3 linked regions of the Schizosaccharomyces pombe genome follow. The protein of the gene in region 2 interacts with the protein of the main gene of each other region in a pairwise test. Each region holds a gene or a part of one and is shown on either strand. Other genes may lie near its edges.

Region 1 (4,702 bases), on a different chromosome or scaffold from region 2:
CAAAATTAGCTTTAGGTGAAAGTTTAGAATCAATCCAAAGTATTTTAACTCAAAAAACGCCTGGATCAGCTGCTATTCTGGCGCTGGCTGGGGAGGGGAACATGGAGTTAATTATTGACCAGCATGGCAATTCAGACAGTGTGGTACAAACATTAGGAGCTATTTTTCAAATTAAAAATGGTTCTTTTGATGATGCAATGGATTTATTAAAGAAGTCAGTAGAGAACTTGGAGGCGGTGGCGCTTCAAGTATACATTCATTTACGAGAGCACAAAATTGAAGCTGCTGAACAGACATTGAAACAGGCTTTGGATTGGGCTGATGAAGAAATTGTACTACAGCTGGCACAATCTTGGATTAAAATAGTTAGTGGAGGCGTCGAATCCTATAATGATGCATTTTATGTTTTTGAAGAGTTAAACGGAACTGATAGCAATCCAATGACTTTAACTGGTATGGCGTGTGCAGACATATGCTTGTTGAGACCTGAAGAGGCTTTGAGCTCGCTGAAAACTGCCCTCGATTCTCAACCAAATTACGAGGAGGCACTATCAAATATGACTACTGCAATCACGGATTTAGGCCCTGATGCTCCTTCTCAAGCCAAGAATATACTTTCATCTTTTACAAATTCTTCTACACTGAAGTTGAACGATCATTTAAATGAAAAGGCGCAAGAATTTGATACTTTTTCAACTCAATTTTTGAGTACGGCTTAATCCAATAATAATATTGTTTAGAATCTTCAATCCATTAATAAACTTCAAATGTTTGCATTTTTAGTATTTATTCATTGACTATTGCTTCACTCAAGTAATGGCTCGTTGATCTGTCTGGCAAAGCAAGTCAATCCAGTATTGCCTCGATAAATTTCAAGTTTACCAGAAGTAAAGGTATTAAACTAATTAATTAGAAATACTTAACCGCATGCAGAAGAAGACTCATGTAGACATAATAACAAGAAAACGCACCCGAATATATCTCGAAATGAAACATTTAAATGAACGCCGTCACAACAGGAGCGTCTTTAAACCGTTTACTTTTATTTATCAAATACATTCATTAATTAAAAATGAACTATTATGACTATCCACCTATATATTTGTTTTTAAAAATCTAGAATAGGTGGTTCTTGTCCAAAATTACTCAAAACCTGCAGTGCCACAAAATGACAAGCAACAAGTTTGCCTTTACAAATAGAAAAGAAAGATGTTTTGAAATACACAGGTGTTTGGAATTTGGAAAAAGCAAGAAAACCGATATTAAACGATAAGACTTTAAGAATCGAAGATGAACTTGCTCAAACGGCAGTGGCACCATGACAGATTACAACTATATATGCCAACATTTGCTTAACCCCAACATGTATCAAAACTCTTTAACTAGCAAACGTTCATTTTTGCGACATCGAACACTTAAATAAGCATGTATGAACGTATCAGTTTGTAACTCTCTTTGTAAATTTAGCGTTACTTCGCTCAAAATAGTTGGATTGTTGTGTAGTATTAACACATACTACATACACGCATTTGTTGTATTAAGATTTGAATCGGTACGCAGAGTAAAAGAGATACTTGCTACTGTTCATTCTGAATCCTATTAATAAATGATGTTGAAGTTCATACTGTCAAATATTTGTACATTTTCATCCTCCCCATTCTTCCAAATTCGCACTATAGCATTGAAAGCGGGCACATATTGTGAGGATGTTGCTCTTAGAGAAAAATGCAGATGTAAATACACCGAAGTACTATCAACTTAACTTTTTAGATAAGGTCTTTGTTGTAGAAACTTCTTTTATTCGGACTGTTGACATTTGCCAGGTCCGTTGGATCACTAGACATACAAAAAAATATTCTGTTAAAATCGACAAGACACTATAAGCACGTACCAGTGAAAGTATAACGATTTCACTTTTCCAATAAGTAAAAAGCCTTTGTTTCTGTAATTGTTTCATTCTTACGAATTCTAATAGCTCGCTTACCACCTGATAGTGTACACGCATTGTAGTTACCTTTTTCAACATCTCAACTTCTTTGACGGCTTAGCAATCTTAGTATCCATTTAGGAAGTATTAAAGGAGAACAGGTATTTGTAACTCCCTTTATAGTTGGAGACCATTGCTGCTCATTAAAACCCTGGTTTCTTTGTAAATTGTACGCAATTTTGTTTTTTGGGTTGCTTTGTTTACATTAAAGGAGTTGATCCACTGATTTCTCATTCAAAAATTAAACAGTTCTTGATTTAATTTCATCTAATACCTTATCGCAACCGTGATAGTATAATAAATTTGACTGTTTACGAATACCAAAGTTTGTTTGTGTCATTACACGATTTTTCTCAAAGAATCCTCCTGGTTTTTTTAACCAAATTGTTTAAATAATAGTTTCTTTTTACTATATAATAGTATTCTTTTGGATCTCTTGGAATTATCTGGCAATTGGGTTTTTTGCTTATAGTTGGGTCCACTTCACAAATATTTGAGATTTAACGACATCTATTATTTCTTTTTTAATCCAAAAATCCTTATTTATCACCTTTTCTGCTGTTTTTACAGAAAATTGCGGAGATTAACTTTCTTTGTCTCGACTTTGAATTATCTCCTTGTGGGGATTTGGAATCTGTAGCTGCCTTTTCACCATGGGATGCATGTCGAGTAAATACGCTGATACATCAGGAGGAGAAGTCATTCAAAAGAAGCTTTCAGATACGCAAACCTCAAACAGCTCTACAACTGGAAGTCAAAACGCTCGAGTTCCAGTCCTTGAAAACTGGCTTAATATCGTCCTGCGTGGAAAACCACAAAATGTGGAAAGTTCTGGAGTACGCGTAAAAGGAAATTCTACTTCAGGTGGAAATGACATTAAAGTTTTGCTCTTAGGCGCCGGTGATAGTGGGAAAACGACCATTATGAAGCAGATGAGATTATTGTATAGCCCCGGTTTTAGTCAAGTAGTTAGAAAGCAGTATCGAGTGATGATTTTTGAAAATATCATCTCCTCTCTATGTCTTCTTCTTGAAGCTATGGATAATAGTAATGTCTCTTTACTTCCGGAAAATGAGAAGTATCGGGCAGTTATCCTAAGAAAACACACTTCTCAACCCAATGAGCCATTTTCTCCAGAAATATATGAAGCTGTTCATGCCTTGACATTGGATACCAAACTTCGTACGGTGCAAAGTTGTGGTACCAACCTCTCTTTGTTAGACAATTTTTATTACTATCAAGATCACATTGATCGAATTTTTGACCCACAATATATACCTTCTGATCAAGATATCCTTCACTGTCGTATCAAGACGACCGGTATATCAGAAGAAACATTTCTGTTAAATCGTCATCATTACCGATTTTTTGATGTAGGAGGACAGAGATCAGAGCGCAGAAAATGGATTCATTGCTTTGAAAATGTCACTGCATTGTTGTTTCTCGTTTCTTTGGCAGGTTACGATCAATGCCTTGTAGAGGACAATTCAGGAAATCAGATGCAGGAGGCGTTATTATTATGGGATTCCATATGTAACTCTAGCTGGTTTTCAGAATCAGCAATGATACTTTTTCTAAATAAACTTGATTTATTTAAAAGAAAGGTTCACATTTCCCCCATCCAGAAGCATTTTCCTGATTACCAAGAAGTTGGTTCAACACCAACATTCGTACAAACTCAATGCCCTCTTGCCGACAACGCAGTTCGAAGCGGTATGTATTACTTTTACTTAAAGTTTGAAAGTCTTAATCGCATCGCTTCTCGTAGTTGCTATTGCCATTTTACCACAGCTACAGACACTAGTTTGCTCCAAAGGGTAATGGTATCCGTTCAAGATACGATTATGTCCAACAATCTACAGTCACTTATGTTTTAGATGAATTTTTCCTTAACTATCTTCATAATCTTTTCTGTCTCATTTCTCTACTTTCATTCGCACTCTAGGAAAAGCCTCTATACTTTTCCGTGAATGGTGTCTCTAGTTAATTTCCTTGCATTTTGTATGCACTTCATGTGTTATTTCTCCATCGAAACTGTTAATTAGTGCATTCTAATTGTTTTATTTCATAGCTTCTTCGAAGCTTCGTGTAATCTTATATTGTTTTAAATAGCTCAAAATTAACTGCAGTTTTTGTTATTTGATAATTTTACGATTAATACATAACTATTGTTTAATTTAATATCTAAATTTTTTCATGTCAACCGTTTGAGACAAACTAAACCCATTGATATTAATATAATTAAATTAGGCGGATTTGATCGTAAACTAAATATAAATCTATAAGGACTCGATGTTGCTTGTTTTGTTATTTTAGGCCCCTTTTTCAAATATGGCTCCAATTCGCCTGTTAATATTCAATTGTATCCTATCTTAGCAAGCTGGTGTTTTCTCTCCCAAAACCTCAAGTTTTAGAAAATAGCAATTTAATGTAGCTGCTTCAACACTCCACCCTACTATTTATATCATTACTAAGAACGAATATAGAGTCTCTTTTTTATCTTTAACTAAACGAAGATTCAATTTACTTTTATTTATAATAAGGATTTTTATTGCCCGCTTGGCATGAGTAAATAATGATCCGGTATGGAAGATCTATTAAACAATGCTAAACAGCATTTGTGTATGAGGAATCCAAAGCTAATTCGAATTGGTTTGCGTCAAGTCGAATCTATTGTATATCATGTTGCGAAACCTAGTCATGATGATAAAATTC
Region 2 (3,467 bases):
TACCATTATTGAATATTTGTCATCTGTTTACTGAAATAAGTGGAGCAATGCAATTTGAGAATAACACATATCGGTTTAAAGATCCTTATTATATTGCTATTACTAAATTAAGGAGTGTAACGTTTCGCAGCTAAAACATTTCGATACAATATTTGATAAAAATAAATGGAGGATAAATACATTTTATTGTCAGCAGGTTGGTTATAATTTTTATTTAATAGCTCAATACTTACGTGTATATAGTGGAAACGTTTAAATCACGTCTGGAAGAACTGCTAATGCAATCGGCCAAAGTACAAAAGCAAACGATGCTTAGAAAGGAATTAGCTTCTTCGATGAATGATATGGCTTCTACGGTACAAGAAGCTTTAAATAAAAAAAAAAGTTCGTAAGGTAAGCACTTGGAGACTCAAAACATTATAGTTCATTATAGATTACGAAGGCAGTTCATTCACTATTGTTTTAATAAGTGTTTGTGAAGTACGACTTGAAGTTTTCATGATAATAAGTTATTATAATCATATAATTTCATTGATGTTTATAGTAAACAATTGTTCATGAAGCGAAAAAAAAAAAACCATTAGAAAACTTCCCTCTGAGCAAATTATGATTACAAGCCTATCGTAAAAAAACCGTCTATGTTATTTGGGACTGTTATTGAGCCAGTATTAGGAATTATCAAAAAAGATACATTCAGGCGTAAGTTACGTCCACTTTTTAGTTTCAGATTCATCAGAAATCGAATAATCGTCACTGGGAGTATGTTTGATATCAAACGTTCTATCAACTCTAATCGAAACCTCGGTGGTTTCTCCTTGCGCAGATGAAGTTTTCATGCTTTGCAATTTCAGAGCTGTACTAGACGCCCATAAACTCGAAAGAGGAAGAGAAATGATTAGCAGACATTGAGTCATAGAGCTAAAGCCATCATACGTATGGATAAAACTATCTATTATAGTAAAGGTAGCTGGAACAATAAGACATTGGCAGCTAATAACTAAAATACACTGCATCGGACCAAATGGAAATTGCCCAATTTTTTTCCGTATTAATATGGCACGAAAGAGTTTGTATGAAAAAACACCACTGTGAAAAATAATGCTAAAAGCAAAAAGTATTTTAGCAATAAAGTAGGGCCAAGAGTATCCAACAATGGTCTTGCTGCTAAGTGGAGTTAACCATAACAGATACTGAATCTGTTGACACATGTTAGTAATCCAAAATGCGAGAACCAAAACAGTTAAGCAGGCACTAATAACAGTCATTATCCTTTGTGTCTTTCTATCATGTGCACAAATTATACGAACTTGAATCATCATGCTCATCTCAGCAGTAAAAATGATGACCGGTGCAAGCAACAAAATTAAAATATTAAACACATGGACATACATATGAACCATGTTTAAGATAAACCCGTAATTAACCAGGATACTGTAGCTATTGCTGCATATGGTCACTATATTCAAAATGGCCCGAAGACACATTGCAACAATACTTGCCGAATTAAAAACAAAAACTGGGTGTTTTCGTTTTTCGGATGATGACAATAGACAAACCATCAAAATGGTAAGGACTCCTAAAGCAAGTTGGGCAGACAAAGTCATTCCAGTTAAAAGTCTATCTCTTTCATATGCATCAATTGTTGAAACTGGCACTTCAATCTCTCCTACAATAGAGACAATGGTAATATTTTGGTGAATAATTGCGGATGCATCGGGAATAGTAAAGTCTTTCCACCATGGTTGTCTCATAATGTCAGAGGGAGCAAGAACAATATAAACCCGAGATTTTTTTAGTTTAAGAAGTTTAAAAATGTGATTTGTAAAGCACTTGATGACTCAGTTTCCCAATGAACTGTTATGCCAATAATTCCTCTTTGTTTAGAATTTCCAGAAAACACTTCTATGTCTCAAAAGTTAAATTTTCGCTTGAAGATATACAGCAAATTTCCAAATATATGGACTCAAAACACACCAATGGAATGCTGTTCGAACAATTGCAAAATTGTAGTTTAAACAGATTCGAAACAAAAAACAAAAGGATTTACTATTGTTTAGACAGTTCTTAAAAATTATTTTTCATCTTTGTCAGAGATCTAGCTGAATTATATAACATTTTTTGTGGTACTCCATTGTTCAGATTTCCTATTGTTAACTTCATTGTCTAGTACCACACCTGAAACAATAGAAATGGAGGAGGTAATTATTAATCAAAGAGATAAGGAGAAATTAGGTGTAACTAACTTTATTGAAGTATGAAAAGTTTAGAGCGTTGGCGTCAAAAGAGGCTGAAAAACGAGGGTATTTATTTCAAGAAGCTCAGCATGCCTATTCAGCAGGAAACAAGGCTAAAGCGCATGAACTAAGCCAAGAAGGAAAGTTATGTGGAGAGCGTATGGAAAATTATAATCGACAAGGTAATCTCAAATTCTCATTAAAAGCTGTGATTGTTAGTTCAAACCCTATAAACTTTCAATAATAGAAAAACAAACCCATCATGAGATTTTTCTTTCTTTCTTTTCCACTCTTTTTGTTTGGTATCTAATTCCGGTAGTTATCGGTCAGACAATACGCCAAACAATAGTAGTTATGACAATGAACTATTCTTTGTACAAAGTGAAGAGCTCTGAAACAGCTGAATAAAGCCATGTGATTTAAGAGAAAAATGGGTTGGCTTCTTTATAGAACTTAAAACACTGGGTTTCTTCAAACCCATATTGGCTTCGAGAAAACAAAATAGAAGTGTTTTATGACTGTGCTAATTATTGATAGCGGCTTCAGCCATTTATTTATATAAAAACTCTCAATGCAATCCCGATGAAATTGATTTACATGGTCTGTACATCGATGAAGCTGTACAAGCAGTACAACAGCGAATTGAGAATTGCATCCGACGTGGTGACAATCATTTACATATGTATGTTTTACGCTTAATTAAAATTAACTCTTTTTTAGTATAGTTGGGCGCGGTAATCACAGTGCTAATCATGTGGAAAAACTACGACCTGCAATTGTGCGAATGCTTGAGCAGCAATCTATAAAATACAACAGTGAAGTAAATGAAGGCCGCATTTATGTTTATTTACCATCTGCGACTTCACCTATTCAACCAAATTTCAATTGCATTCAAGAACCTCAAGAAGCATATTCTCGTCCTCAACATTCAACTTTGACTGATCAAGTTGAGCCTGAAAAAATTGTTGAAGAAATTGCTACGAATTGTTTTCCTCGTCTAAAAACATGTTGTGCCATCATGTAACAGTTTGTTTTTTGCTTGTTAACACAGGCGACCATGGATACCAAATTGGGTCAACAAAATTTTAGGCGGTGAAATTATTAGCCAGGTGTCTGTGTATTAATCTTTTATTTCGATTCGGTCATTATTGTATTTATTGGGTAATTTAGGCTCTAGATTTTTTTGCTTGTTGCAACCTTAGGATTTTTTTTTTATTTCAAATAAATATTGAA
Region 3 (4,543 bases), 4.1 Mb from region 2:
GTGAAAAATTAAAATGTAAAATAAAATACTTTTCAAGTCACTAAATACCGGTTTCAATTGGGTAGGAGAATTCAAGAAAGGAAAAAAGATCTGGTCCCACCATTCACCAACTGCTTGGCGATCCAAAATCAACAACGGTATAACCGTTTTCAACACAGCTAGCCATAGTATCCGTCGCCTTGTATTATTGAACGGCGTCTTTTCGTAGATCTCGTCCAAGATGTGTCTTATTTTTTGTGAGTTAGTGGGGTTTTGTTTGGGATAACGCTGCTGATACGACTCAACTTCCGCAATTAACTCAGTCAAATCGGGATAGCCTTCCGATTCTTCTTCATGAAGGACGTTCCATAATGCTTTGACTAGCGATTGCAGCGGCATTCGTACAAAGTTGGCAAAGTCAACGTTGATATACAACTATGCGACATTATACTGATAGCAAGTCTTGGCAGCATTGATAAACGTAACGAGGATAGCGTAGTCTGCCACATTTTTTTAATTAGTCTTTGCATTTTCAACCAAATTATACAGCGCTATCCAAAAATCCTTTAACTAGATTACATGTCAACCATACAGGTCGTAATTCGTTTTTAAGATACGATAGTACTGCAATGATATTTTTTAGTGTAATGTACATAGTATAATAAATTTATTGTAAATAGTTATAAATATCCTAAAATACTCGTTAAGAATACCAAGAAGTATTTATAATTACACTTATATAGCTAAAAATTGAATTGAGGAACGTTGTTTTAAACAAGCTTTATTTGAAGGAATCATAAGTAGTAAAGTAAGTTGTAATTTTTATCCAAATTATGTAAACATCATCTATACCATGGTACTTGATCCATCTCCAAAATTTAAAGAATGTATTAAGTATTGATTTCTAGGACTATACAGTATAGTAGGCAGTGTTCGCATTTTCAGCACAGAGGAAATACGAAAGCAAACAATGCGAAAACACATTGAGAGTTCTCTGAATAAACATGTAAAAATAAAAAGAAAACGGTTTTACTATTAAGGATTCCTAGGGAACTTTTCTTTCAAAGGAAGTTAGAGGGCAAATAATTTGAGTCGGTCTAATATTATGGTAACATATTCAAGCACTTTTAACGACATACTCTTAACTGCTATGTTATTCCACAGTGTGTTACAGTCACTTAGAGAGAAAATATTTCATTAATAAAAAAAAACTTTTATAGGGCAGGTGTAAGAAGCGTTGCAAGGCGCAAAGTAGAAAAGAATATAGTCATGGAAAAGGGAAAGCCGGTGCTTGTAAATAATTACAAACACCAATATTTTTTAATTTATATCTTAAAGTCTTCCAAGTTGGCGATGTAAAGTTTCATAACAAAAGCCATTTCATTTTCATTGCATATTTTGGGGTCATTTCAGTACCCAATGGAACTAACAGGAGAGATGCAGTGAACAACTAAGAAGTATCAAAATATCTGTAACTGTTTATAATCCTTTTTTGCTTACTTCTTTTACTTTTTGTTTTTCCCCAGTCTCCAGGAGTGCTGGGTAAGCTTTATTTACCAACCATCTGTGAATTATCCAGCCATAGCATATCTCCTTCTACTAGTTTATATAATATTTCCTTTCAAAAAATAGGCAAGCGACTGCATATCCTTGTTTAAATGTCTTATTTTGATTCTTTTTTTATTATTATTCAATCGGTGTTATCACATGAAATTTACCGATTCATTAAAACCCCTTTCGGAATAAGTTGACGAAAGGTGGAAATTGCTACCTGTTTTCTTTGTTCTGCTTTCTCACTGTTAATTTGTTGGGGTAAACAAATCAATTGCACAATGTTCTTTGTTCCGTTAAAGTTCCCATTGTTCGCCATTTAATGATTTCTTTGTTTAAAAGAAAGCGTATAGCAATGGTTAGATGGGAAACTTCGAAGTATAAATACTAAGGCATTTCCCGAATTTTCATCAGTGTGCCTATATCGACGTTTACAAAATTGCTCCAATCCTTCATTCGATTTTAAATTTAATAGGGATCAGACCTATTGAAAACAGCTGGAGACCTGATTTAGTATCGAATTACCCGTAATTGATTATAAAAATTGACGGTAATCAAGAAAGTGGGACTATTACTATATATTTAAATTTCTTTTATCTTATTTGAGTTCTGTACTTCTCTTTTATCTTTTAAAAAAATAAAAGAAACAATATTTAACACTCCATTGTGCTTGGCTGCCCGATCTCTGTCGCTTTTTCGCTTAGCAAGATCACAATTCTTTTGTTCATCACTTTATTATTTATGATAAAAGGCTACAAATTCGTAAAAGTAAGAATCAGCTTTGGATGCCCGCCCTTCATAACCCTTCTTCACCACCGCCCAGTTATGAAGCTGTTACGTCTTATCGCAACGGAAATTCAATAGATTCCGGCGATAAACGTCAACAATGTTCTCGATTAATGAAAATTACCTCTAATGGTAGACCCTATAGCAAGGACTTTTTGGAGCTCTTCTCGACGATGGTAATTTCTACGAATTTTTCTCGGAACAGGTACAGATTCTCATATGTGGAAAACTCTTGTACCTTATTGCAATTGCTTTCAACATTGGAAAATCTTCAGCTGAGTCAGGTAAACCGCATTAAAAGTAGATGCGGCAGTAAAGTCTTAAAGTCTACTACCAAATTTACGATACCTAAGACTGCTGCTAAATGTTTATGTAATACATTTTTAAATGCTCGTTTGCTGCAAATTGTAAATAACCCATCGGCTAGAAAATTTTCAAACGAAAAATGTCTTCTTCAACTTACAAGGAAAGGTTACTCTGTTGTTAGTGAGTTTCTACAACATAACGGACATAATTCTCAAGCCGAGCTTTACGCTTCCAAATGGAATCATTCTGCGCCCGTCATTGTTTCCATTTCGCGCTTTTCAAGTACCGATCAAATACTTAAGGATTCTTCTTTTTGTGAAATGTTGCTGGTACGTATGCTTGGAAGCGTCCATGAAATTGGGAAATCTAAAAACCCTCTTCTGGTACCCGTTTACTCCGTTTCAAGTCCCTCTCCAAAAGACTCCTTAAGCAAAGTCACCAAATACCAAATGTTTGGCATTGACATAGCTGAATGGCTTATGTGTAACACTATGCTCCTAGACTGGTCGGAAATGGAAACTGTTGCTAGCGATTTGTTAATTCATTCATACATTGCTTACGAAAATAATTCCGAGACTCCTTTAAAGTTTAGCTATGCAAAGGGTGTTTCCTATTTTTTGACTGGAAAGGGAATTGCGACTCTAGGATGGACTAAAAATGTCTCCAATAATAAATTAATTAATAAAATAAATGAAGTCGAAAAAGGATCCACCAATAAGGAAATCCTGGAAACCATTCTTAGAAAGCCGAATCTACAAACCTATTTCTTTGAATTTCTGAAAAAAAATTTTTGTGACGAAAATCAACGATTCTATTCTGAAGTTTGCGAATTTAATGACTATTTTTCTCATGCTAATGAAACTAATGATCATGAAGCAATTCGCGAAAGTTTTGCTCATGCATGCGGTATTTACAATTGCTTTCTTTCATCTAATGCACCTAACGCCGTCAATCTTCCCAGTGATCTTTATGAAAAAATAACCAACCATATGGCCTTAGCCATGGAAGTTGAACCCCTAAATGAATGGCTCCAGTTAATTCACATTCTTTTATTAGAGGCGCAAACAGCCGTATTAGACCTGATGGCCGGCGATTCCTTATTGAAATTTCTTGAATTGAATGGGGGGCTCGGTATTTAATGCATAGAAAACAATCGTGTTTTAAATCATTCATTAGCAGTTCCTCTTGTTTTTGTACATATTTCTTATTTGCATTATTATTTTTATTTTATCTCATTACGTGTCTATTACTGATCCTTTCCATCGCTATGCTCTGATGCTTCCGTTTTCTCGAACAAGAATCATATGCTTATGTTTCAAGGATGAACTTATAAGGCTATAAATGCTTTGCTAACATATTTGCTAACTGAGTAGAGAAAATCCGAAATGAATATATGAATTAAGCATTATTATTTTCGGTGAACATTTGAATATCGAGATGATAAATCTTGTAACTATGATCTATATAAAGATCCGAACACTTAAACGAAAATCGAATTTGAAATTAACTGGCTTAATTAAAATTTCAACCTCTTTTAAACTCTTTTTCGCCAGAAGCTTCAAACACTGAACTAACCCTCATCAAAAGAAATTGAATTTAAATAAAGTTGACAACGCCTAAAGAACATAGTCATTAACCAGCATCAGCACAATAATTTTTCATTAAATTATGAGCAATAAAATCGAGTTTAAGTGTTTACTCTACTTTTACATTTAGCTAAGGCTATATAATTTGGACAACGTATGCCATAGTAATATTTTTGAAGGTCTCAGGGTTTCTCAATTTATTTGTGTTAACCAAAAATTATGAAAATATTTAGTTGATAATCATTTATAAACCTTGTTTTTTTCACCAGATTTCTATGTTCTTGAATGGGATTAGAATCCACAGGTTACTTAATTCTGAAAATTATAGACTGAAA

What was found.
Region 1: the proteins of mam2 (region 2) and gpa1 interact in a two-hybrid assay, tested with the Schizosaccharomyces pombe proteins (2 studies listed by BioGRID, with this or other methods).
Region 3: the proteins of mam2 (region 2) and rgs1 interact in a two-hybrid assay, tested with the Schizosaccharomyces pombe proteins (one study listed by BioGRID).

Annotation. Positions count from the first base shown.
Region 1 is NC_003423.3:2,327,698-2,332,399, forward strand, and holds gpa1 (G-protein alpha subunit), read left to right. Parts: upstream 1-2,012; 5' UTR 2,013-2,640; coding exon 2,641-3,864; 3' UTR 3,865-4,193; downstream 4,194-4,702. Other genes in the region: sec28 (coatomer epsilon subunit protein), read left to right, coding at 1-719; SIN component Cdc14, read left to right, coding at 4,573-4,702. UniProt on the Schizosaccharomyces pombe protein: Implicated in the mating and sporulation pathway. Probably coupled to mating-factor receptors. May act in concert with Ras1.
Region 2 is NC_003424.3:4,778,972-4,782,438, reverse strand, and holds mam2 (pheromone p-factor receptor Mam2), read right to left. Parts: upstream 1,752-3,467; coding exon 705-1,751; 3' UTR 517-704; downstream 1-516. Other genes in the region: protein Fta6, read left to right, coding at 166-196, 244-392; SPOM_SPAC11H11.03C (uncharacterized protein), read left to right, coding at 2,190-2,198, 2,254-2,416, 2,772-2,916, 2,955-3,258. UniProt on the Schizosaccharomyces pombe protein: Receptor for the peptide pheromone P-factor, a mating factor of S.pombe. Pheromone signaling is essential for initiation of meiosis in S.pombe; P-factor signaling alone may be sufficient.
Region 3 is NC_003424.3:677,861-682,403, forward strand, and holds rgs1 (G-protein-signaling regulator Rgs1), read left to right. Parts: upstream 1-1,942; 5' UTR 1,943-2,315; coding exon 2,316-3,761; 3' UTR 3,762-4,030; downstream 4,031-4,543. Other genes in the region: Rheb GAP, hamartin Tsc1, read right to left, coding at 1-378. UniProt on the Schizosaccharomyces pombe protein: Negatively regulates pheromone signaling during mating. Acts in a negative feedback loop that is essential for the mating process. This loop acts to down-regulate cellular sensitivity to pheromone. Activated by ste11.